4 linked regions of the Mus musculus genome follow. The protein of the gene in region 4 purifies or fractionates together with the protein of the main gene of each other region. This does not show direct contact. Links are inferred from orthologs where the notes say so. Each region holds a gene or a part of one and is shown on either strand. Other genes may lie near its edges.

Region 1 (5,339 bases), on a different chromosome or scaffold from region 4:
CTTTTCATTCAAACTCCTTTATAAGATGCAAAGGTTTTAACTATCCAATAGAAGGTACATAATTTAAAACATTCTATAGAAATAACATGTTACCAGTAATTTACAATTTAAAAAGAAATCAGCCACAAGAAAAGTCAAAGCTAAAAACAAGATTTTTACTATGAATCAGTGCTTCTATTACCTTCTCAAAGAAGTGATACTGTAATGTGATGTAAAGGCAACATTGAAAGTTCATCTTTAAATTAACCACCTAATTTAACCCTAAAATTACAAAGAATCAGTCTTGTACAGGTCAAGTTCAGTAAACTAACATGTTCTCTCAGCACAAAGCAGCACTAGAAAACAACAGGACAGACGGGAGTTGACTAGTTTTGTGGTATCTGCTCCATTGGTAACAGACATCAGACAGCATCCATCCCAGAGCAGACACAAGTAAAGACTAGGGCAAGAATGCATCACACTCTTGGCTGAGAAATGTCCTTTGTCTCTGGAACTTTCTAGTTTGAATGAAACAAATTTTTCAAAGTAAATCAGGTCGTGTAAATTGGCTGCTTAAATAACATCATGATGAGGTATGAGAGCTCTGAATATTCCTTACATTCAGCAGGATTTACCAGAGATGTGCAATAGCTTGTCAGGGCAACTTCTAGATAGCTTTTATCTATTTTGGGGTTATGATGAATTCTAGAAGAGTAGTCTAAAAAGATTTAAAAGGGTATGCTCTGAAACAGACATGAGCAACTTTTCCTTCAGAATTCATTTTGAACAGAATATCATTGGGGAAAAAAAAAAAGACTCCTCTCTCTGATAGTGTGTCCCAACATTGAGCCAAGATGGCCAACTAGCACCGAGAAGTCACATTGAACTCATTTGCAGTTCTCTTGGCAATTATCCTTTTTTTCTTGTTTCTTTCCCCTTCTAGTCCAAGCACAAATGTCAGTGAACACAGTACTGGAAGCGCCATTTGCAGGTACATTACAGTCATCATTAAATAAGCAGGAGGTGGGCATGTTCTTCCTAGGGGAGGTAGGGTACTAGTAGGAGATGAAATAAAAACAGGGGATACTGAGGTTATTGGATCACTGCCCTTTTAGTCTAGAGGTCACACTGAGGAGACTAGTATGCTTTTAAAGATAAGGATGCTGCACAGCAAAAGCATGTATGCAGCATGATTACATTAGAATCGAGCTGCACTCAACAAAGGAAAAAAAAATCCCTAAGTAACATTTAAATATGTGTTATCTGCCAGTCACGAAGAGGAAAAGCACCTAGGGTGACTCCAATTTACCAGGCCCTTGGTCAGGACCACAAAGCCTGAGGATCATTTGTAATGCAGAAACACAGCCTCTCGTCACACCGGTTTAAACAAAGTGATGGGTTTTATGTTCTTAGTCTTTAATTGGATTTTTGAACATGGTTTTACTTAAGGACTTTTAGCCTTCATACCAGCGTTAAAACTGAACCACTTCCAAATCCTAAGAAACAAAAACAAAGAGAAGCAAAAGCCATACAAACTAATATATGCTTCTCTCCTTCCTGCTTTAAGGAAATCTGCCAAGCCAGGATCACATTTAAAAGTCAAAGTGTTAATTCTTCAGCATTCCTGACAACTAGAAGCACATTCACTGAAGGCTGAAGGTGAGGGATTGGATGGTTTAACTTTAATATCTGAAGAAAATGACTCCATTAGAGGAAAGAAAACCATCCCATCTCAATAAGGATTAATGCAAATGTGGCTAGAAAAAGCCACCAGGTACTCCAAGGGTTGATTCACTGTGGAAGAACTCGAGAAGAGTACTCTGATGTATACACAAGTCTAAATATCTCCCTTGTAGTTGTGTAAAATTCAAGATAAAGGTTTTAGTTTTATCTTTCAATGTCATTTTCCCCACTTTACGGAATGAGGAAGAGTCCTCTTTTTTCCCCCACAAAAAAGGGAGCCACATTAGTATGTGTATATATTCCCATGACTCTAATGTAAGTGCGGATCTCCAAAGCTTAGGGATTTTTCCATAAGAGAGTGGGCCGTTCTGGTTACCCTTGTAATAAAAGGGTATTCCACCACAGAGAGCCAGAGGTTTTCCAGATGTGTGTAAGAGAGCAGGTGCGCAAGGCAAGCAAATGAGCGCAAACAGTATTATGGAAAACATTTGAGAGATTAGCTCCATGAGGACTGTGGGCTCCACAAGAGGACTTGACTGGATAGCCTGGTCTGACACAGGAACAAGAAGGAGAGGATTGCTTCAAAGCTGGAAACCTTCCATAGGAGCTTCACACTGCTGGAAGATGTACTGCTGCTGGCTAAGATCAACCTGGGGTGCGATGCTGCTGTCCTCATCTTCGGTCCCAAAGTAATGCTCAATAAGATCAAAAGCCTTTTGATAGATCTCCTGGTTTTCATGACTCTGTAAGAACTCAATTTTATCCAGACCTAAAATGAAGGATAAAGAATCTTTCTTGAAAACCTCAGTAACTACATTCTTAATTCTACTTTATTGATGTAAAGACTCTATACATACGCATCAGAAATGATTATTGCCATTACATCCAAAGCCCAATATTATAAATTAACATCTTAAATTAAATGCACATTGCAAGCAGTTTCTGGCCCAAGGAAGCAAAGTCTCACTACTGTTGTCTCTGTGTCACCCACTACTCCCATGTTCATGTTTTCATATGATTATTATTGTTCATTTCCCTCATTCTCAGCCAAACTCTTACCATATGCTTCCTCAATCAAAGCACAGTAAGGATTAATGCCTGAGCCGTTTCGTTTGGCTTCTTGTTCTCCAAGCCTCAGGATGTTTTCTAAGCCATTTAGGGCAACCTGTACAATTTTTGCATCCATGACAGTGAGGAGATCACAGAGTGGCTTGATACAACCCAGTTCTACTAGGTACCTGAATCAACAAAAAAAGGACAATTTAGTCATATAAAATATTTAATTTTGTGATTTTTATTGAACTGTGAGGCATCTTCAAGCTTGCTGTAGAAATAAAAATAAGCTGTCAACTATGGACCTTTAGAGAGGAAAGAGTTAGCTCACATATCTCAACTATAGTCTGTTATTGAGGGAAACCTCTACCTATATACCAAAAATACCACTTCTATGTACTGGTTGGGGCCATCTTCCTCAGTCCCAACCAGTACATAGAAGTTTGAAGAGTTATTGTAGTCATTATTTCTACACGTAAGCACACTTCTCAAATACAGGCTGTGTGAACTTAAAGAAGAAAACAGATGCAGGACTCTACAGCTCTATGTCTTTCAACTCCAGCAGGGAGTAACGTGATGCAGACAGTATAATGAATATAAGACAGACTACTACATCACACCCAGGGCAGATATGCACGAAATCCCCATCATCCTAATCTCTCAAGTTGTATATGGAGAAAACAGAGATAACTGAGGTAGGTGAAACCTGTATAAACGAAATGTCACTGTGAAACTCAGTACTCATCTTTATATCCTTTCCACACTACTTTAAACTTAAAATACATATATAGATCTCTAGAAGGAAGAGAGAACACATAAAATAACATTATACTCTTACATGATAAAGATGAAAATCACTTCTGATGATATGGAGACTAAGAAAATAATCAAAACCTATTATTGATTATTAATTTAAAAAAGAAAACACAATAAACTAAGGATAGAGGAAATATGATAAAGAGCCTTAACAAGAAGTGTTTACCTAACTAACATCATATTTGAAACATTGCATATGCAAACCTAAGCATTATTTTTAAAGAGGATTTTAAAAGGAGTATAGAAGAATGGAAGTAAAGTCTTCCATTACTGTCTATGCAGGTTAGGAAACACACGCACACGCACTGATGAAAACACACCTGGATAATAAGTATAGAAAGTCTATGATATAAGGCATGATATAAAGCTCATACACAATTTAACTGTTTATACTCCAGTAATGAACACCTAGAATCTAAAAGTAAAACCCTAATAGCAGTGGTGTAGCATTAGCAACAGTAAATCTGGTAGGGCATGGTGATTACACATTGAGACCCAGGCTTGAGTTCCAGAACAGCCTGGTCTACAGAGCAAGTTTCAGGAAAGCCGGGGACGCACACAAAAATTATGTCTTGAAAAAAACAAAACAAATAAATCAAAATGAAAACTGAAAATAGATGAGGAAGGCTGTATGATGAGACAGCTCCACATCTAAGACTGTTTGCTACTCTTCCACAAGGCCCACGTTCAATTCCAACACCCTATATTATATATAAGGTAGCTCACAAGTGCGTGTAACTCCAGCACTAGGAAGTATAAGGCCCTCTTCTGGTCCCCATGGATGTTACAATTATGAGGGAGGTTCACACACACACACACACAGGGGGGGGGGGGGTTGTCTTTTTTACACACATAGGAGAGAGAGAGACCTTTTTAAAAAACTGAAAAGAGAGAGAAAACAAGTATTAAAAGCTAAATGTAAGGGCTGCATAGATGGCTCAGAAGTTAAGTGCACTTGCTACTGAAAGACCTGAGTTTAGTCGCCATCACCCATACCAGGTAGCTCACAATCACCTGTAACTTCAATTTGTCTTGTCTTCCAGACACTTCCACTACATGCACACACATACCCACACACATCACTCATACATGAATAATTAGAATTGTAAAAATATATCTTAAAGACTAAATGCACTTCTGAGTTTAATTATAACAATGATAATTTCCCAAAGTGCCAGACTTCACATTCAAGAAATTCCTTTCACATTCACAGTCAAGAAATTCCTTTCTTAGTGGTCAAGGTTTTAGATTATATATTGGGGATGGGGAGAGGTTAAACTTGTTTTCCTTTAATTTGCAAGATGCTACCTGGACAGTACTTACTTGATCTGCTCAGCTGATCCTCCAGAAGTTGCATTTGTGATGGCCCAAGCAGCTTCCTTCCTTGTCCGGAACTCTGCTGTTTGCAATATACTAATAAGAGCTGGGAACATGTTAGCATCTATCACAGTCTGAAATTGAGAAAAAGTTAAAAGAACAAGGAAGTTACATGATTTTTAAAAATATTACTAATTGACATTATAACTTGTTTTATTTTTTGTTTTGCCTTTTGAGACCAAAACCAGTTCTGACCTGGAACTTGCTAAGTAGACAAAGTCCACACTTCACAGTTCTAACTGCCTCTGCTTCCTGAGTGCTGGGATTAAAAGGATAACTTTGAACTAACTTGACAAATGATGTTTGTTTTTCCTGTTACCATTTTTCAATCTTTATTTTATTAATTATTTATGTATGTGTGAATGCATAGACCCAGCTCTGGCTCTCTCCTTCCACCATGGGTTCTGAGGATCATATCCAGGTCTTGCGGC
Region 2 (5,339 bases), on a different chromosome or scaffold from region 4:
CTACAAAGTGAGTTTCAGGACAGCCAGGGCTACACAGAGAAACCCTGTCTTGAAAAACCAAAAGAATCACAGCTCAGGCTTTTTTCTGTTAACTGCCTGCAGGTTCTTTGCTCTCACTAGAGAAGGTGTGGAGCACTCACTGTCACTATGACAAACTGCTTTGCTGGTGTTGGGCACTGAATCCAGGCAATTCAATAGGCAAACATCCTACTACTGAGCTACGCAGCTTGCTTGCCCTTTGCCTTGCCCCTAGTTTCTAATGGGAAAAGATGCCTTTTTTGGAAGCAAATCTACCTGTATTTGAGCCCTGTTGCCAGCAGTGATGTTTGAAATGGTCCAGCAAGCTTCCTTCCGGATTGATTCCTTAGAGCTGCTCAGTAGGTGGAGGAGGCAAGGGAGGGCTGAACAATTAAGAATGACCTAAAACACAAAAGCATAAGAAATTTATCAAAATTAGATATTTAGTGTTAACCCATTTAAAATTAGATATGCATATCAAGACACCATAAACAGTGCAAAGCAAACCTGCAGAATATTAGAAAATACTTGCAAAACATGTATTATTAAGAGTTAAAATCCAGGGCTAGAGAGATGGCTCAGCAGTTAAGGGCAGATTGCTCTTCCTAAGGTCCTGAGTTCAATTCCCAGCAACTACATGGTGGCTCACAGCCACCTATAATGGGATCCAATGCCCTCTTTTGGTGTTTCTACATGAAATAAATAAATAAATAAATAAATAAATAAATAGCCCTTTAAAAAAAAGGTTATTATCCAGAGTATGTAAATAACTTTTTAAAAAAAGAACTTAAAAGAGATACAGCGATTATGTATTAGCACACATAATAGGCTCAAGATCACTTATCAAATAAATAGAGAAACAAAAATCAAACCAGGAGACAGCACTTTACACTCACTAGAATGGCTGATATAAAAACAGAAAATGAGATGTCTTAGAAAGAGGGAGAAACTGGAACATGGAACAGAGCTGATAGAGACATAAAATAACACAGAAACTAAACTTATAAATTAGCATAAATTACCATGTTATCTAATCTATTTTGCATATACATGACCAAAGAAATGAAAGCAGAGACTTTGTAGCTGCATAACCAGGGTCCAAAACAGCATTATTCACAATAGCTAAGCAGCAGAAACATAAATGTTTGCAAGATGGATGAAGGAATTTAAAAAATAGTATACACAGACACTGGAATATCCTTCAATCTTAGTATAAGAATTCTGACACACGAACGTCACAGATGAAGCTTGAAGACATTATGCTAACTAAGGCAGCTACGAGGGACTAATATGGTTTAACTCCACTCACAAGGACAAGTCTACAGTAGTCCAGTGGGATAAAACTACATATCAACCACAAGAGGGACTGGAGTACACACTAACTCATGGAGACTATTGGCTGACAAAGTCAGACAGGAAATCAGCAGAGTTCTAACTTTTGAACAAGAGAAATTTCTGGTGCCCTCCCTGTGGGATCATTCCTACTGTATCTTCCATCTCCATGTTCACGTGTGTGCAGGGTCTTCTGAGACAGGACCTTGTTGAACTGTGCAGGCTGGTCTCCAAGCCCTGGGCTCCTTCCACCCCACCTCATCCTCCCCAGCAGATGCACACCCACTCTGCTACTGGTTTGTAGGAAATATTTTTCCCGTTTTTGGGTTTTTGAGATAGGGTTTCATATAGTCGACTATGGCCCTGAACTAGCTGAGCCTTCTGCCTCTAACTCACAAGTGCTGGGATTACAGTGTGTGCCACACGGCTGAAAAGGCTAACGTGAGTTTAGCATGAGGTGAAGGCCTAGAAGCATTGGTGACCCCACAGCTTTTAGTGTCTCAAAAGGATCATGGACCAGACTTCATTCCTCACAACACTGTTGCAGCAAACAAACCCAGTCATTCCATTTCGCTTTCTTTGCTCAAGCAGCAGCGGGATGATTTGTTTCTAATTTGCTTAAGAGAAGAAGGAACTATGAGAATACAGAGACTGCCAGTGCTACAACCACTTAATTTAAAGTCACACTTTCTCTGCTAGACCATGCAGTTACCCAGGAAGACTTTGGTCTACAGCGCTCTCTCTGTTCTCCCACAGCTGACCTAAGCTAAGGTCCCACCCCTCTTCTTCCTCACCTGGGTCTGGATGTCATCCCCAGTGACAATATTACCCACAGCTCTCAAGGCAGGAGACGCCACTTTGTAATCGTTGTGCCTACAGAGGAAGAGCAGCTATCAGTGGAGAGACAGCGCATCAGTCGGTCCTGCCGACTGCCGAAAACCAACACAGGTTCTTCTGCCCATATTCCTTGCAGCTCCAGACCTTTGTAGGTCAGCTATCTGCTGTTTGTAGATTTTTTGTTTTTTTGCTTTGTTTTGTGAGACAGTCTTTATACTGCAGCCCACCCTGTCCTTGAATTTGTCATTCTCCTGTCTCCCAAAGGCTGGGATTACAGCCACACCACCATGCCTTTGGCTAGAGGTCTTTGAACTTGGTAAAGCTAAGGAAACTTTCACCCTCTTGAACTCAAACCACTCACATCAGAAGCTCTACCAATCTCCGGCAGACTCCAGAGTCTATGACTGCCTGGATCTTCTCATTGGGGCCATCAGACAGGTAGGAGAGGGCCCAGCAAGCATCTGCCAGCAAGTCTGAGTCACTGCTGAAGAGCAGTCGGGACAATACAGGCAAACAAGGAGAGACCTGTTGGAAGCAGAGGAGGACTGATCATAGGGCTACATCAGCTCTCTCACCAAGCCTATCATGGCTTACCCCTTCCCAACACGGAATTCTACACCCTGGGAATGCCATCAAACCTGCAGGACCACCTTTTCACTCTCCTACCCTGGCACACAAAATCGCCCTCTACACTGATGATTGCCTTGTCTTTCACATGATTTGAGACTCTAATGGGTCTTCCCAAAACTTACAAAGAGATCCTATGACGGAATCTGGCATCACTTGTAGCTAGTAGGTAGTTCTCACCTTTGCAAACTCTGGAGGAGGGTTCTTGCCTCGGCAGAGGTTTGACAGGGCCCAGACTGCATTCCGTGTCATTGTCAGTCGTGTGGACTTAGTAAGGAGTCTGTAAACAAGGAAGCCATAATCTTAGCACTGACCTCCAGCACAGGGCTGTGACCACAGACCCTAGAGTATAACCCAGGCCCTAGGACTATCTTGTTCGTGAAAATGGGAGGTTGTTCAGTCCTGGATAGTCTGAAACTTGCTAACGTAGACTGGGCTGGCCTCCCAAGGGCTAGGATTAAAAGGTCCGGGCCACCGGGTGTGGTGGCGCACGCCTCGGAAAAACAAAACAAAACAAAAGGCCCGTGCCACTATGCTGGGCCTCATTACTTGTTTTTGTCTTGTGACAGGCTTTTCTCTGTCTAACTATGGCCCTCCTGGAACTCATTCTGTAGATCAAGGTGGCATCGAACTCAGAAATCTGCCTGCCTCTGCCTCCCGAATGCTGGGACGAAAGGTTTGTGCCACCATCCAAGGTTTTATTATCCCCCACATACACTGCCACGTGGCCACGCTGCAGAGCCCCGGGATTACTCACGTTAACAAGGGGTTAAGGATGGAGCAATTCAAGACATAATCCCTGCAAAGCGAGCTATCTCCAGCGATGTTTCCAAGCGCCCACACTGCCTGAAAAGGGAGCAGACAACTGTCACCCAGAGCCTGGCAGCTTCCGTGACTACTTACAAAGCGGTCCGACAGGGTGAGGACAGCACACTGGAGTGAGCCACCTAGACTGTGTCTAGGAGGACTCTTGCTGAGCACTTGCTCTTTTAGAGCTTCTCCCCGGAAGCCCTGTTCAGTGGGAAAGGCAGGCGGCCACACGAACTGAAGCCAGAGACACCAAACTACAGACTTCATCATCCCTTCATAGGAAGGGAGAAAGAAAAAGTCTTGACTCTCTACCTTGGCCCAGACCCACACGAGGTAAAGAGAGACTCCATCACTGCTTTCCATTTCTGTGTGAGTACCACAGGCTAACCCATTTTCATACGAGGAGCAGCAAGCCTTGTTCAATTCTCCATAGTTCTCCAAATATGCATCAATATTTATTTTTTACTATACTGTAAGTACGGCCAAAACATTGACCAAATTTTGAGTGTTACCTGTTCTTGTACATCTTCAAAGTCTGAGTTAAGTAACTCTATAAAAATGGGGACAGCTCCTGCTTCAATGACAATTTTGGTCTGCTGAGACGTTCCAGAGGCAATGTTTGTTAGAGCCCAGGCAGCTTCAAACTGAAAGGGAGATCACAACACAACTGAGAGGTCTGCAGACTGAGCAGCCCTACCTACCCACCTGCCTCACAACAGCCAATCTCTAGTAGCAACAGAAGCCCAAACCAAACTCGTCTTTCCCCACCATCCTTTAGCAGAGAGGGGACTTGCATGCCGCTGGTATCAACCCTGTGGCAGTCCTCATGTCCCAGCCTACTGCATGCTGAAAGTATTAATATATGCTGGCTAAAAGTATTAGTGTGGCTTAAAGCTTCCCCGCTCCCCCTTTGTATATATATACTGTGGAAACTCAGCTAGGTTCACATAATTATTGCTATCCAAAACCCTTTTCTTTATTTTTTGTGTCTGTATGTTCATCTATGTGCCATACCATGCTTGTGGAGGTCAGAGGACAACCTGCAGACTGCAGGAGTCAGTTCAATCATTCTATCATGCATGAGTCCTGGGTCACACTGTCAGGCCCAATGGGAACCTTAATCTGATGAGTGCCCCCCCCCCCCCGCCCCAACTCGTGTGTGTGTCTCATTTAAAAAGACACTCACTGTGGAGAACAGGCTGGCCTCAAACCTGAAGGTTTGTTCACTTTGCTAGTAGCACAGGCTGTACTACCACACCCAGCCCTGAAGCTATTTTTAAGGAAGGTAATTTCCCGATATTACTTTCCCATTTCCTAAAGGGATGCCACAAAGACAGTCCACTGTCATGTGAGGAACTCTCATCTGGCCATTCCACCTTAGAGCCATTACCTGCAATGTACAATTCTCATTTCTCTTCAGAAACTCCACAAACCGATCAACTACTCCTGGAGTGTTAATAACTTCATCTATTGGAGGACTCGGCTCTAGAGGAAGACAGGAAAGGCAGAAAAAGTCAGGAGAAGCTTGGACTGACCCATTCACAACCCGAGATGCTCTGACCAATTTTGTAGACTTTCCAAAGTAGTCCTTTGCTCATCTACAGCTTAGAATACCGTTGGCATGTTACAAATACAAAGGCAACCTAGTCTAGGTATGCTCACCTCTGGCTTCCTGTATGTAAGCACGTCAGAAAAGGAGAGAGACAGAGACACAG
Region 3 (5,339 bases), on a different chromosome or scaffold from region 4:
CACATAGCTAACAACTTTGTGCCTTAGCTGGACATTAGAAGTTAAAGGTCCCAGGAGCTCCATCCTGAACTTGGAAGGCGAAGCCTTCAGAGGTAGTTTCTGGCACCACATTTTGATCTTCCTCTTCCTGGAAATAGTAAGGTAAGATATAACCATAAACATGGTACATCTCTAGCAGAACCCTGTCTCAAAGCCTGCACCTAGCAGAAAACTTGTTGCCAAAGCTTAGCTAACTCATGAATGCTGGGACAATTCCAGGCTGTTCATATAACCATCATATACCATCAAGCCAGTACTAGCCACACGTGCGCGCACCCACCCACCCACACACAGCAAATCTTGGCTGCACTGATGCTTGTTCTTTGTGATAGGGTAATGTAAGAATCATATACAAAGGATCAAGCCCATTGGCTTGAAGGTACTTGTGAATTCTCATATCCTTTCCATGTTGTGGACATGGCCATTACTTACCTCCACTGAGAAGTACTTCTCAATTAAGTTCAATGAGGCCTTGTATACAGACTCGTTTTCATGCCTCTGTAGTGCTTCAATTTTATCCAAGCCTCCACACTCTTCAATCATTATACTGAGCTTTTCTGTCTCACCTAGTTTCTCTGCAGCCTTAAAAAAAAAAAAAACTCAACTTAAGTTTACTACCCTCTATGAGATACAAATCCCAGTTTCTATGAGAGGTGTTTTAGTTGTTTTGTGTATTTATTTTGATCTATTTTTGTCTGGCTTTGATTTCTGAGACAGTTTATGTAGCCCTGGCTGTCCTGGAATTTGCCATGTAGACTAGGCTGATCTCAAACTCAAGAGATCTGCCTGCATCTTCCTCCTGAGTACTGGAATTAAAGGCTTGCTCCACCACTGCCACAAAAAAAAAAAAAAAATTCTTTTTTTTAAGCCCCTCCTGCACAAAAAAATATTCTTAAAGAAAGGGTGCCAGGATAGTGGCTCACTGGATAAGATCACTTGTTCTTACAGAGGATCTGGGTTTGATTCCCAGCATACATATGGTCACTCACAACAATATACAACCCCAGTTCCCACCCATACATACAAAATGAATAGATATAAAAAGAATGGGGGGAGGTACCAATACAGAGTTTCTCTGTGTATCTCAAGCTGGTCTCCATCTCAAGAGCTCAGCCTGCCTCTGCTTCCCAAGTGCAGGGACAGACTAAGACTTCATTAGTAAATTTAAAAACTGAGACTGTACACAAACAAACCTGATTCTGACTATTAGTAAACCAAACTTAGCTGTCCTCTTCCCAGTCCTAAATAGTAACTATCAGCCTTAAGTTCAAGCAAACAGAGCCTTGTTAGGACTTACCTGAAAGATATTTGAAATGGCGTCAAGAATAACCTGAATAATCTTGGTATCTTTTGCACTCAGGAGGTTCATCAAAGGTTCTATTATCCCACAGTGAACGAGATACACAATCTGCTCAACAGTCCCACCGCTGGTATAGTTGGTTATAGCCCACGCGGCCTCCTTCTGTGTCTTAAAGTCCGCCTGATAAACAAGAAAGAAGAAGAAAATGGTTTTAGTCCAAAAGTCCTAACAGCCAGACTCCAAAAGTTAGTGGTCTAAAAACACCAAGCCAATTACCTACTCTTCTACCCAATATTAGGAGGTACTGTATCCAACTCAGGCCTCCTGCCTCTCCCTCACAAGCTCAGGAGTTAAAAGCATGTGCCACCATGCCCAGGTTCCTCTAAGACTTATCACGCATAGGTTGTCATAAATGCTATCATCTGGTCAAACCTAAACTCTCATTACCTTAGAGAGGACACCAACAAGAAAGGGGACTAGGCCGTGATTCACAACTTGCTGTATCTGGTCCTGGCGTCCAGCTGTAATGTTCGACATTGTCCATGTGGCCTCCTTCTGAATATTAGTTTTGGGGTTTGTTAGCAGGCTGGGAAAGACTGCAAGTGCTCCTGCATCGATCACTTTCTGAGTCTGCTCATCTGTTCCAGTGACAATATTCCCTATGGCTCTTAGTGCGGGAGTCTAAAAAGGAAAAATAGGTTGATTAATTACTGATTAATTACTTTCCAGTGCTGCTAAAAAAATTCTCCATTCTAAAAAGTTGTGCAAATAACAGGCAGTATCTCAACAGCTATCAACTGAGGACGCTCCCGTACTCCTGCGCTCCCTTACTCCATACTCACAAAGCTATTTAATAAAAAGGCCAACTAACACCTACCACAATGGGCAGTTCAGTAGCTCCTAGAAGCTTCACAAGTTGGGGAACAACTCCTTTCTTCACAACCATCTCAATGCGCTCATTTGGACCATCAGTCAGGTAGGAAATGGCCCAGCAGGAATCTGCCAATACTTCTGGATCATTGTGGTGCAGGAGTCGAACTAACGTAGGAAGAATCTGCTCAACGGCGTCTAAGGGAGGTGCAGGGTTCTTGTTTCGACAAAGGTTTGAAAGTGTCCAGGTAAGATTACGTAAGTAACCACACTGAGGGGGAGAGAAAAATTATTGAGAAGGCTTGTCTTTGAATAGATGGGGAAAATAAGAGTCAAATATTATCAACTTACTGCCAAGGTAGACAGATCGGGAACTGCAAGAAGTGCCAACAGTGGGTCAATCGCACCGTGTTTGATAACTAAGTCTCGGAAAGCTGAACCATCACCTGGGACAGAAAGCGAGATTGGCTGAGCACGGCAGTGAACACCTTAACCCCAAAATCTATTTCTGTGAAATCCACGTTATCCTGGTCTATAGCCAGCGCTACGTAAGAGAGACCCTGTCTCAAAAAATAAAAAAGCAAGATTAATGAACCTACTGTCCCAAACATCCATGTTTAGTTAGCTACTGAATGCACTGTCTGTCAGACCTGTCCTAACTTCAGTAGCATTCTTAAATGCCTCTTCCATTCCTAATAAGGGCCTAAAGCAAGCACAAAGCTTGACACAAAAGCCACTAGGACCTTCTTTAATCACATTGGACACATTCAGTCCAAAGAATTATAAGTGCAAGTACCTGCAATGTTTCCAAGAGCCCAAACAGCTTGCTCGCTGATGTGAGCATGAGGAGATGCCAAGAGAGAAATAAACGCTGGGATAGCACCTCCATCCACCACAGCTTTGGTCTGTTCAGATGTTCCAGAAGCAATGTTGGTGAGTGCCCAAGCAGACTCAAACTGAATAGGACTACAATCAGTTTTGCCCAAGAAGGACACAAATTTTGGGATCAAACCAGCCCGGATGATGTTGTCTATAGGAGGCTGTTTCTCTCTAGAAAGCAATTTCCTAAGGGAAAAGAAAAAAATCAAAAGTTGAAGTTGATTTTTCAAAGTGCACTGAAAAGGTGGATAAAAATCTGGCCATCACAGTGGTTAATACACGTACAATCTCAACACGGACAAGGCTGAGACAAAAGGAGACTGTGCACTTAAAGTCAGCCTAGGCAACATGGGATGTTGTTTAAAGGGGAAAGGAGATGGTGAGATAGTTTAGTAGTAGGTAAAGAGCTTGCCACCAAGCTGACAACTGAGTTCAATCCCCAGAATGCACATGGTGGAGACAAGTTTTCCTGATTCATTCTCTCTCTCTCTCTCTCTCTCTCACACACACACACACACACACACACACACACAAAATTTTAAGATAAAGTAAAAATTCATGATTCTCCACTGCACCTCCCTCCCTCCCTCCCTCCCTCCCTCCCTCCCTCCCTCTCAAAGGGCTGATTTCTTAGGTTATCCATGCCAGAGCTACAGACTCACCGAGCAGCTTGAGTAGCTTGGAGCTGGCTTTCCAAATTGTTACTGTTTATGCCTTTAACAATGTCCTCAACAGACCAATTTACAGTACCCTTAAAAAAATGCAGTATTTTACAATTATTATTATATACAAATATATATACTTTATAGTACTGTGCTGTTTAGTTGTCAACTTGATACAACCTAGACATCGAGATACAATCAACATACAGAATTATTTTGGTCAGATTAACCTTTGCTCATGTCTGAAATTACCTTCATGATATGGGAGAGTCCAGCTTAATGTGGGCAGCACCATCCCCAGGCAGGTGGGTCTAGGTTGTATAGGAAAGCTAGTCCAGGCAAAAAGCCAGTCAGTAAGTAGCTACACCTTGCCCACTACCTCAGGGTTTCTGATTTCCCTCATTAATGAGTTGTCTGACCTGAGGTATAAGCCAAATAACCCTTTTCCTGCCACTACACTGTTTTCACAGTCATAGGAAGCACACTAGCACACATGGCATTGTAAGGATACTTAGGCTCTCATCTGAAGGTTAGCTTTACATTTAATTTGGACTACTAAATCCTGCTTTATATGTACAATAATAGTTCTCAAACTTGGTCCCATGACATTGGATTCTCAAGTCAGAACACTTAAGCTTTTGTCATTAGAAGGAGTAGCAGTGAACTATTTTAAGAATGGTTTAAGGCAAACTAAATGCTATTCTTAGTTGCAATCCCTTGAACTCAAATATACTTTTAACAAAGAAAGATATATGCAGCTACAGATGTCTGGGGTTTTTGTTTGTTTTTAATTTTTGACACAGGATCTCAATGTAGCCCTGGGTATCCTGGAGCTCATTTTATGTAGACCAGGCTAGCCTAGAACTCAGATCTACTTATCTCTATCCCCAGAGTGCTAGAATTAAAAGCATGTGTGTGCCACCACATGGAGCCTAATTTCTTGAGTTTGTATTTAAAATCTATAAATTTCCGTGGTAGATGATTATGTTGTAATCACTACAGAAGAGAGGCTTGCAGCCCTTGAAACAACATAAACTACTGCCATCGCTCTTGGTTGCCCATCAGAACTTTAAGCTAAGACGCCATTGCTGAAGACACCCTACACTTTGGCAATAGACCATGAGAAGGGGAAAGAAAAAAACAAACAGGGCTGGTGAGATGGCTCAGTGGGTTAGAGCACCCGACTGCTCTTCCGAAGGTCCAGAGTTCAAATCCCAGCAACCACATGGTGGCTCACAACCATCCGTAACAAGATCTGACTCCTTCTTCTGGAGTGTCTGAAGACAGCTACAGTGTACTTACATATAATAAATAAATAAATCTTTAAAAAAAAAAGAAAATAAAGATTTAAAAAAAAAAAAAAAAAAAAAAAAAAAGAAAAAAACAAACAAAACTGGAACTGCCCTGGAACTTCTCCTCACTGCTACCTTTTACAGTGCTGGAAGATCCTACACAGGCTTCTAGAGGGAACTCGAACCATCGTACCCAGCTTTAACTGTACATCCTGCCTAGCACAGTGTACCCACTGGTTCAATAGGAGCATCAGAGTTATTTATGGAGGAAATCAACTGCTTTCTGGTTGTATTTGA
Region 4 (5,867 bases):
TACACATATACATATATGTATCAATAATTAAAGAGGAGGAGGTCAATAACGTGAGGGAACATGGGGAGAATAGGAGGAAGAGAAGAAGGATGGAAATTACATAAATATAGTATTCAAGTATGAAATTATCAAAAAAAATTAAGAGAAAATTACCTACAGAACTGCTCAGAACAGCTTTAAAAGAAACCTCAGGTACTGACCGCTCTGTAGTTCAAACTATAAACACTATTTATTTACCTTTCTTTCTTTCTTTTTTTTTTTTTTTTTTTTTTTTTTTTGGTGTTTTCGAGACAGGGTTTCTCTGTGTAGCCCGGGGCTGTCCTGGAACTCACTCTGTAGACCAGGTTGACCTCAAACTCAGAAATGCGCCTGCCTTTGCCTCCCAAGTACTGGGATTAAAGGCATGTACCACCACTGCCCCGTCACACTATAAACATTTGTAACTATGCAGAGGTAGACATATTGCATAAGACAAATACACAAGAAGTTTACTTTTAGGTTTTGGGGGCTTTTTAGGTATTATTGGAATTTAACCCATTGTATGTATATGCTCAGCAATCACTCTACCAAGTTATATCCCTCACCTCTTGCAGTGAAAAATTTAAAATGTAGACCAAGAAAACACAAAGAGAGCTAAATTTGATTGCATAGCTACACATAGAGCAAACTGCAAAGTTAAAGGGGAAGAGGTTATCTAGGACCACATCTGGAATGCAGCAAATAGTTGGATAAGGCACAGTACATAGCTGGATAAAGTTTTTAGGCAATAGAAAATAGCTGCTGTCTGTTACATAAAAATACAACTGTCACTTAGGTCCTAGACAAAAGTAGACAAAACCCTAAAAGGAAGACCAGGAATGCTGCAGAAATCACTCTGGAGGAACAAAACATAACTGAGTGACATAGGAAACATGAACACGTACCTACTCGAGAGTCAAAGGCCAAAGAAAAGAGATAGTAAACACCAGAACGGCCATAGAAGAACTGGGAGAGGCCATGGGAAATGCTGAGAGCAGAGTCAAGATGACAAGCAAGCAGAATATATGGTGACTCCTACTGCTGAGCCCAAGGCTTCAGGGCAAAGGTTTTTATTTTGTCTTTTGTTTTTTCCCCAAGTATTAGGCTGAATTTAAGCTCAGAAGAGAGAAATATTTCAGGGCTGTGGATGATTTCACAAAGCCATTTAACATTCATCTGAATGCGGTAGTTCTTCCACGGATAAAAGCATTAAAGCTTATTCATCCCGTAACAGAAACCCTTAAATTAACCCTCAGTCACAGTATGGCTTAAGCAAATTCTCTTTTCAAAGGTGACATATATAAAAGTTTCCCTTAAAGAATCCTCTCACCACCCTCTCTTACCTAACAGAAACTGCTCCTTCACACAAAAGTCATTTTTAACACAAAACTCTGCCCCAGTCCCCAGTGGGTATCAAGCCCCATCATCCGGAAGCACTGCAGAAGAGGTTGTCCTAGGAAATACTACATGGATGTCTTCTGGCAATACAAAATCAGCTCAGCAGCTATATTCTCCATCTACTTCTAAAAGGATCTGGTCAGTTTGAGAATTGGGGGAAAACAAAAAAAAAAAAAAAAAAAAAAAGAAAGAAAAAACAAAAATCAAAGAGCCAGCTACACAGATTAAACACTTGGAAGACAAGAGCTTAATTTATGCATTCCTCCACCAAATCCTTTATTCCTGCGCTTCTGAGATTACAGCTTTAAGCCTTCGTTGAGCCTTTTTCTCTTTCTCCTTTATTTGGTGTGGGGAGGGTTCAGACGGGTGGTGTCTCTTCTGTCTCTGTGTGTGTGTGTCTCTCTCCTCTCTGACCAGTATCCTTTGCCTTGTCTGGTAGTCTTTGTCATACCACTCTGACTTGCAACAGCTTTTAAGTAGAACTCTGCTGTATTTCTTATCATAACCTTTATTATCTTAACAGCTGGAATAACTAAGACAGTTCAAGTAATGTTTTCCATTTTCAAGATTTTGGTAGTAGTGAATTTGTATAATCTGAGAACTTGGGAGGTAGAGATATAAAGACCAAGGTTTCAAAGTCATTAGTGAGTTGGAGGCCAAGCTGGACTATGAGAGACTGTTTCCAAAAAACCAAAGTAAAATAATCAGGGGTTGTGGTGGGATCCTTCATCTCAGAGCCCCCCCCCCCAGCCCCAAATGGCCAGCATTACTAAAAGATATGACACCCAAGGAAAAACAAGTTAACAAAAAAAAAAAAAAAAAAAAAAAGAAGAAGAAGTTGCCCACTTCCTGCCCTAAGAAATTGATTACAACTTGTGGAACCTGCAGGGTGACCATAAAAAGATATTTTTAGGCAGAAGACACTCTGTAATCAAAAAGACAATATCCCAGCAGGGGCCAGAGGTGCACGCCTTTAATCCAGGCAGAGGCAGGAAGATCTCAGTGAGTTAGAGGCCAACCTGGTCTACAAATGGAAAGCCAGATATCCTTTCAAAAGAAACAACAGCAACAACATAAGGGAAACATTCAAATTGCAAATCCATGTCCTAGAATCTGATGTGCCCCCCCAAAACGACCTCAGTTGGCACTAAGCCAGTCTCTGAGTTAACAAACTCAGAACAGAGATTCTGTGGACATCGATGTGATGGCAGAATGCAGCAAAATCGCTAAAGCAAGGTCCTCACTCGTGTCTGAGATGTCTCACTGTGTCTATCTTTTGAAAGAAAATTACGTAGCGTTTAAAATCCGACTTCTGGCTCACTTTGCTCACTCACTGCGAAGACTGGTTCACTACATACCTCCTCTGGGAAGCCTTTAACGACGTCAGGACTGCCCCTTAAAGAGGCGCTGCTGCGTATGCACAGCTGCAGCAATGGCAAGCCGACTAGAAACAGGTAAATTAAGACACAAAAAAACCAAAACAAATTTTAAATAATATTCGCCAAGAGGCAGTCCTCCTCTAGTGAAGAGTTTACATAATGTGTCAGAAAACCAAAGAGCTCTGCAGACCTGTCAAGGAAGACACAAGACTTGTGCTGTTCGTTTCCTCGTCACCTCTACTTTGCAACAGCCCCGCAGAAATTGGGAACATAATAAATCCGAACACGTTCACCTCAGGCTTCCCTACCCACATTTACTAAAAACATTAAAGATAAGAGAGGAGAGGGAAAAAGAATCCAGCCAAAACAAACTAAAACCCTGGCCTCGCACTTCTGACTCCAACGTATGGAGTAACCTAACCGAGCAGGGGAGTTTTTCTTCTTGGGAAAGGAGGAAGAAGAAAAAGGCAACTGTCTCGAATGTGCGCCTCGCCCAGCAGTGCCATGACAAGCTCCAAAACTCCACGCTGGCCCTAGCAGCTCCCTCGCGGCCCGTCCCAGCACGGCCCCGCGGCCCGTCCGGTCCCCAGCGCCTGCCTCTCACAAAGGAGAGTGGTTCAGCCCCGAGCATCCCGCACCTGATCACCGCTCGGCGCTGCACCCGCATGGGTGCGAGCGAGCGAGCAAGCGAGGACGTTGTTACCCCACCCACTACCCGCCCAGGCTCCGACGAGGCTTGGTGGAGCCGCGCGTGCCGCAGGCTTACCTGAGCCAGTCCTGCGGCTTCCTTCCCTGGGCAAGAGTTGCAACCCACCGTCCGGGAGAACAAGGCGCCTTCCGGCGGAGCACGGCCAGCCCTCGCCGCAAGCAAGCTTGCTAGTCCTCCATGCGCCTGGGCCCGCCCACCGCCCTCCATCTACCAATGGCGTGGCCGGAGCCGGGCGCCATCCAGGAAGTCTCCGAAGGCTGGGAGGGCCTGAGGCTGGGAAGGGTACGTAGGCAACCGCAGATATGCCTGCTTGGAAATCGGAGCGGGCGGCGGGCTGGCAGGCCAGGCCTCTGACCCCCGCCGCTGGGGGCGCTGCAAACCCGGACAGCACCTGCTACCTGTCTCGGGAGGCCATCTTGGGTCGACTGGCTTGGTGATCTCCCACGATTACGTATAGGAATGTGAAGGCCTTTTTGGAGTTCTGTTGGTCCGTTTTGGTCCAGCCCCTACATGCCCTCCTCTCATGTACTCAGGATGCCTGTCAGTCATGGGGAGGAACTCTGGAAAAACGTTGAACAAGACTGGAAACAAGCCCCACCACCTCTTAAACGTAGGAATGATGCTGGTTTATCAAAGAAGCCAACGATCAGTTTTTCTGAATGCCACTTCTAGGGTGATCCTTGACAAGCAGGATTATCAACACATAATCGACACGGGTTTTATAGCCATTCTACTTGCTTATCTATGCACGTTTCAGATTTTCCAGTATTAGAGTTTTGTTTGTTTTTTTGAGACAGGGTCTCAATATATCAGGCTGGCGTTAAACACAGAGATATGGTATTTGAGGCATGAGCTACCACGCCCTAGACCAGTGTTCCGATTTTAGCAACCCAAAATTCTGAGTCATTTAGTAATATCGGGAGTGAGGAATTTCACTTAAAAAGCAAAGGACCTTAAATTTACCAATAGTTCCAATTACTACGCACGAATACACACTGGGAAACAAGACTTATCAGAGGTACACTGACGGAGTCATTTATTCTGGAAAGAAGCAAAATTTCACCATAGGTCAAACTACACTGAGAAAGGTGTTCCTGCATTTTCTAAAGTTCTGCCGACTACATTTCCATACAAGAAGGGTTTTTTGGTTGTTGTTTGTTTGTTTAAATACCAGTATTAGAAAACTCGAGGAAGCCGGGCGTGGTGGTGCAGGCTTTTAATCCCAGCTCTCGAGAAGCAGAGGCAGGCGGATTTCTGATTTCGAAGCCAGCCTGGTCTACAAAGTGAGTTCCAGGACAGCCTGGGCTACACAGAGAAACCCTGTCTTGAACCAACCCCCCCCCCCCAAACAAACAAACAAACCTGAAGGAAGCTTGAGCAACACAGCAAAACCTGCAAAATTTGTTTTTAAAGAGATTTATTTATTTTTATAAACTTTGCTCTTGTCATTTTCCCTAAACAATATAATTTGTCAACTATTTGCACATCACCCGCACTGTTTTAGGTAGAATCAGAAATGATCGCAGTGTTGAGAACAACGTGTGTAGGTAGTTTGTAAATATACATCTCTGTTCCTGAGGGACTTTGGTGCCCACAGATTTTGTTATCCATGTGGTTTGGGGGGATCCTGGAACTAGACTATCATAGATGGAGAGACAACCATATTTGCTGTGCTACTTCCCTCTGGGGAAACTGAGGTATAGGGAGACCCGCTGACTCCTGGGGCTAACATGAAAGTAGAGGGTCCCTGAACATCAGGCCCAGGGTTCTGACTCATGTGCCTCAGTTTGCCCATAGATTTTCTTTTTCTTATTTTTAAGATTTATTTATTTATTATATGTAAGTACACTGTAGCTGTCTTCAGGCACCCCAGAAGAGGGCATCAGATCTCATTACAGATGGTTGTGAACCACCATGTGGTTGCTGGGATTTGAACTCAGGACCTTTGGAAGAGCAGTCAGTGCTCTTAACCACTGAGCCATCTCTCCAGCCCATTGTTGTTTTTAAAGATATATTTTTTAGATTTTAATGTGTGTGAGTGAGATTTATTAGCCGGGCGTGGTGGCCGCACGCCTTTAATTCCAGCACTCGTGAGACAGAGGCAGGCAGATTTCTGAGTTCGAGGCCAGCCTGGTCTACAAAGTGAGTTCCAGGACAGCCAGGGCTATACGGAGAAACCCTGTCTTAAAAAACCAAAAAAGAAAAAAAAAAAAAAGAGAGAGAGAGATTTATTGCAGGGCACGCCTTTAATCCTAGGATTTGGGAGGCAGATGCAGGCCGATCTCTGAGCTCTGATCTACAGAACTAGTTCCAGGACAGCCAGGAGTACACAAAGAAAACAGTTTTTCTATTATATTTTTAAT

What was found.
Region 1: the proteins of Chd8 (region 4) and Kpna1 purify together in Homo sapiens (affinity purification with mass spectrometry; 6 studies listed by BioGRID and IntAct, with this or other methods). This does not show direct contact. The link is inferred for Mus musculus from reciprocal best matches to the Homo sapiens genes CHD8 and KPNA1.
Region 2: the proteins of Chd8 (region 4) and Kpna6 purify together in Homo sapiens (affinity purification with mass spectrometry; 4 studies listed by BioGRID and IntAct, with this or other methods). This does not show direct contact. The link is inferred for Mus musculus from reciprocal best matches to the Homo sapiens genes CHD8 and KPNA6.
Region 3: the proteins of Chd8 (region 4) and Kpna2 purify together in Homo sapiens (affinity purification with mass spectrometry; 4 studies listed by BioGRID and IntAct, with this or other methods). This does not show direct contact. The link is inferred for Mus musculus from reciprocal best matches to the Homo sapiens genes CHD8 and KPNA2.

What each region holds. Positions count from the first base shown.
Region 1 is NC_000082.6:36,030,813-36,036,151, reverse strand, and holds part of Kpna1 (importin subunit alpha-5), read right to left. Parts: intron 4,983-5,339; coding exon 4,855-4,982; intron 2,901-4,854; coding exon 2,722-2,900; intron 2,432-2,721; coding exon 2,244-2,431; 3' UTR 1-2,243. UniProt on the Homo sapiens protein: Functions in nuclear protein import as an adapter protein for nuclear receptor KPNB1. Binds specifically and directly to substrates containing either a simple or bipartite NLS motif.
Region 2 is NC_000070.6:129,651,294-129,656,632, forward strand, and holds part of Kpna6 (importin subunit alpha-7), read right to left. Parts: intron 5,110-5,339; coding exon 5,015-5,109; intron 4,269-5,014; coding exon 4,137-4,268; intron 3,661-4,136; coding exon 3,572-3,660; intron 3,095-3,571; coding exon 2,995-3,094; intron 2,713-2,994; coding exon 2,549-2,712; intron 2,224-2,548; coding exon 2,145-2,223; intron 421-2,144; coding exon 295-420; intron 1-294. UniProt on the Homo sapiens protein: Functions in nuclear protein import as an adapter protein for nuclear receptor KPNB1. Binds specifically and directly to substrates containing either a simple or bipartite NLS motif.
Region 3 is NC_000077.6:106,988,853-106,994,191, forward strand, and holds part of Kpna2 (importin subunit alpha-1), read right to left. Parts: intron 3,840-5,339; coding exon 3,751-3,839; intron 3,275-3,750; coding exon 3,006-3,274; intron 2,656-3,005; coding exon 2,561-2,655; intron 2,481-2,560; coding exon 2,217-2,480; intron 2,021-2,216; coding exon 1,787-2,020; intron 1,520-1,786; coding exon 1,337-1,519; intron 622-1,336; coding exon 472-621; intron 128-471; coding exon 35-127; 3' UTR 1-34.
Region 4 is NC_000080.6:52,254,117-52,259,983, forward strand, and holds the start of Chd8 (chromodomain-helicase-DNA-binding protein 8), read right to left. Parts: upstream 3,645-5,867; 5' UTR 3,562-3,644; intron 1-3,561. UniProt on the Homo sapiens protein: ATP-dependent chromatin-remodeling factor, it slides nucleosomes along DNA; nucleosome sliding requires ATP. Acts as a transcription repressor by remodeling chromatin structure and recruiting histone H1 to target genes.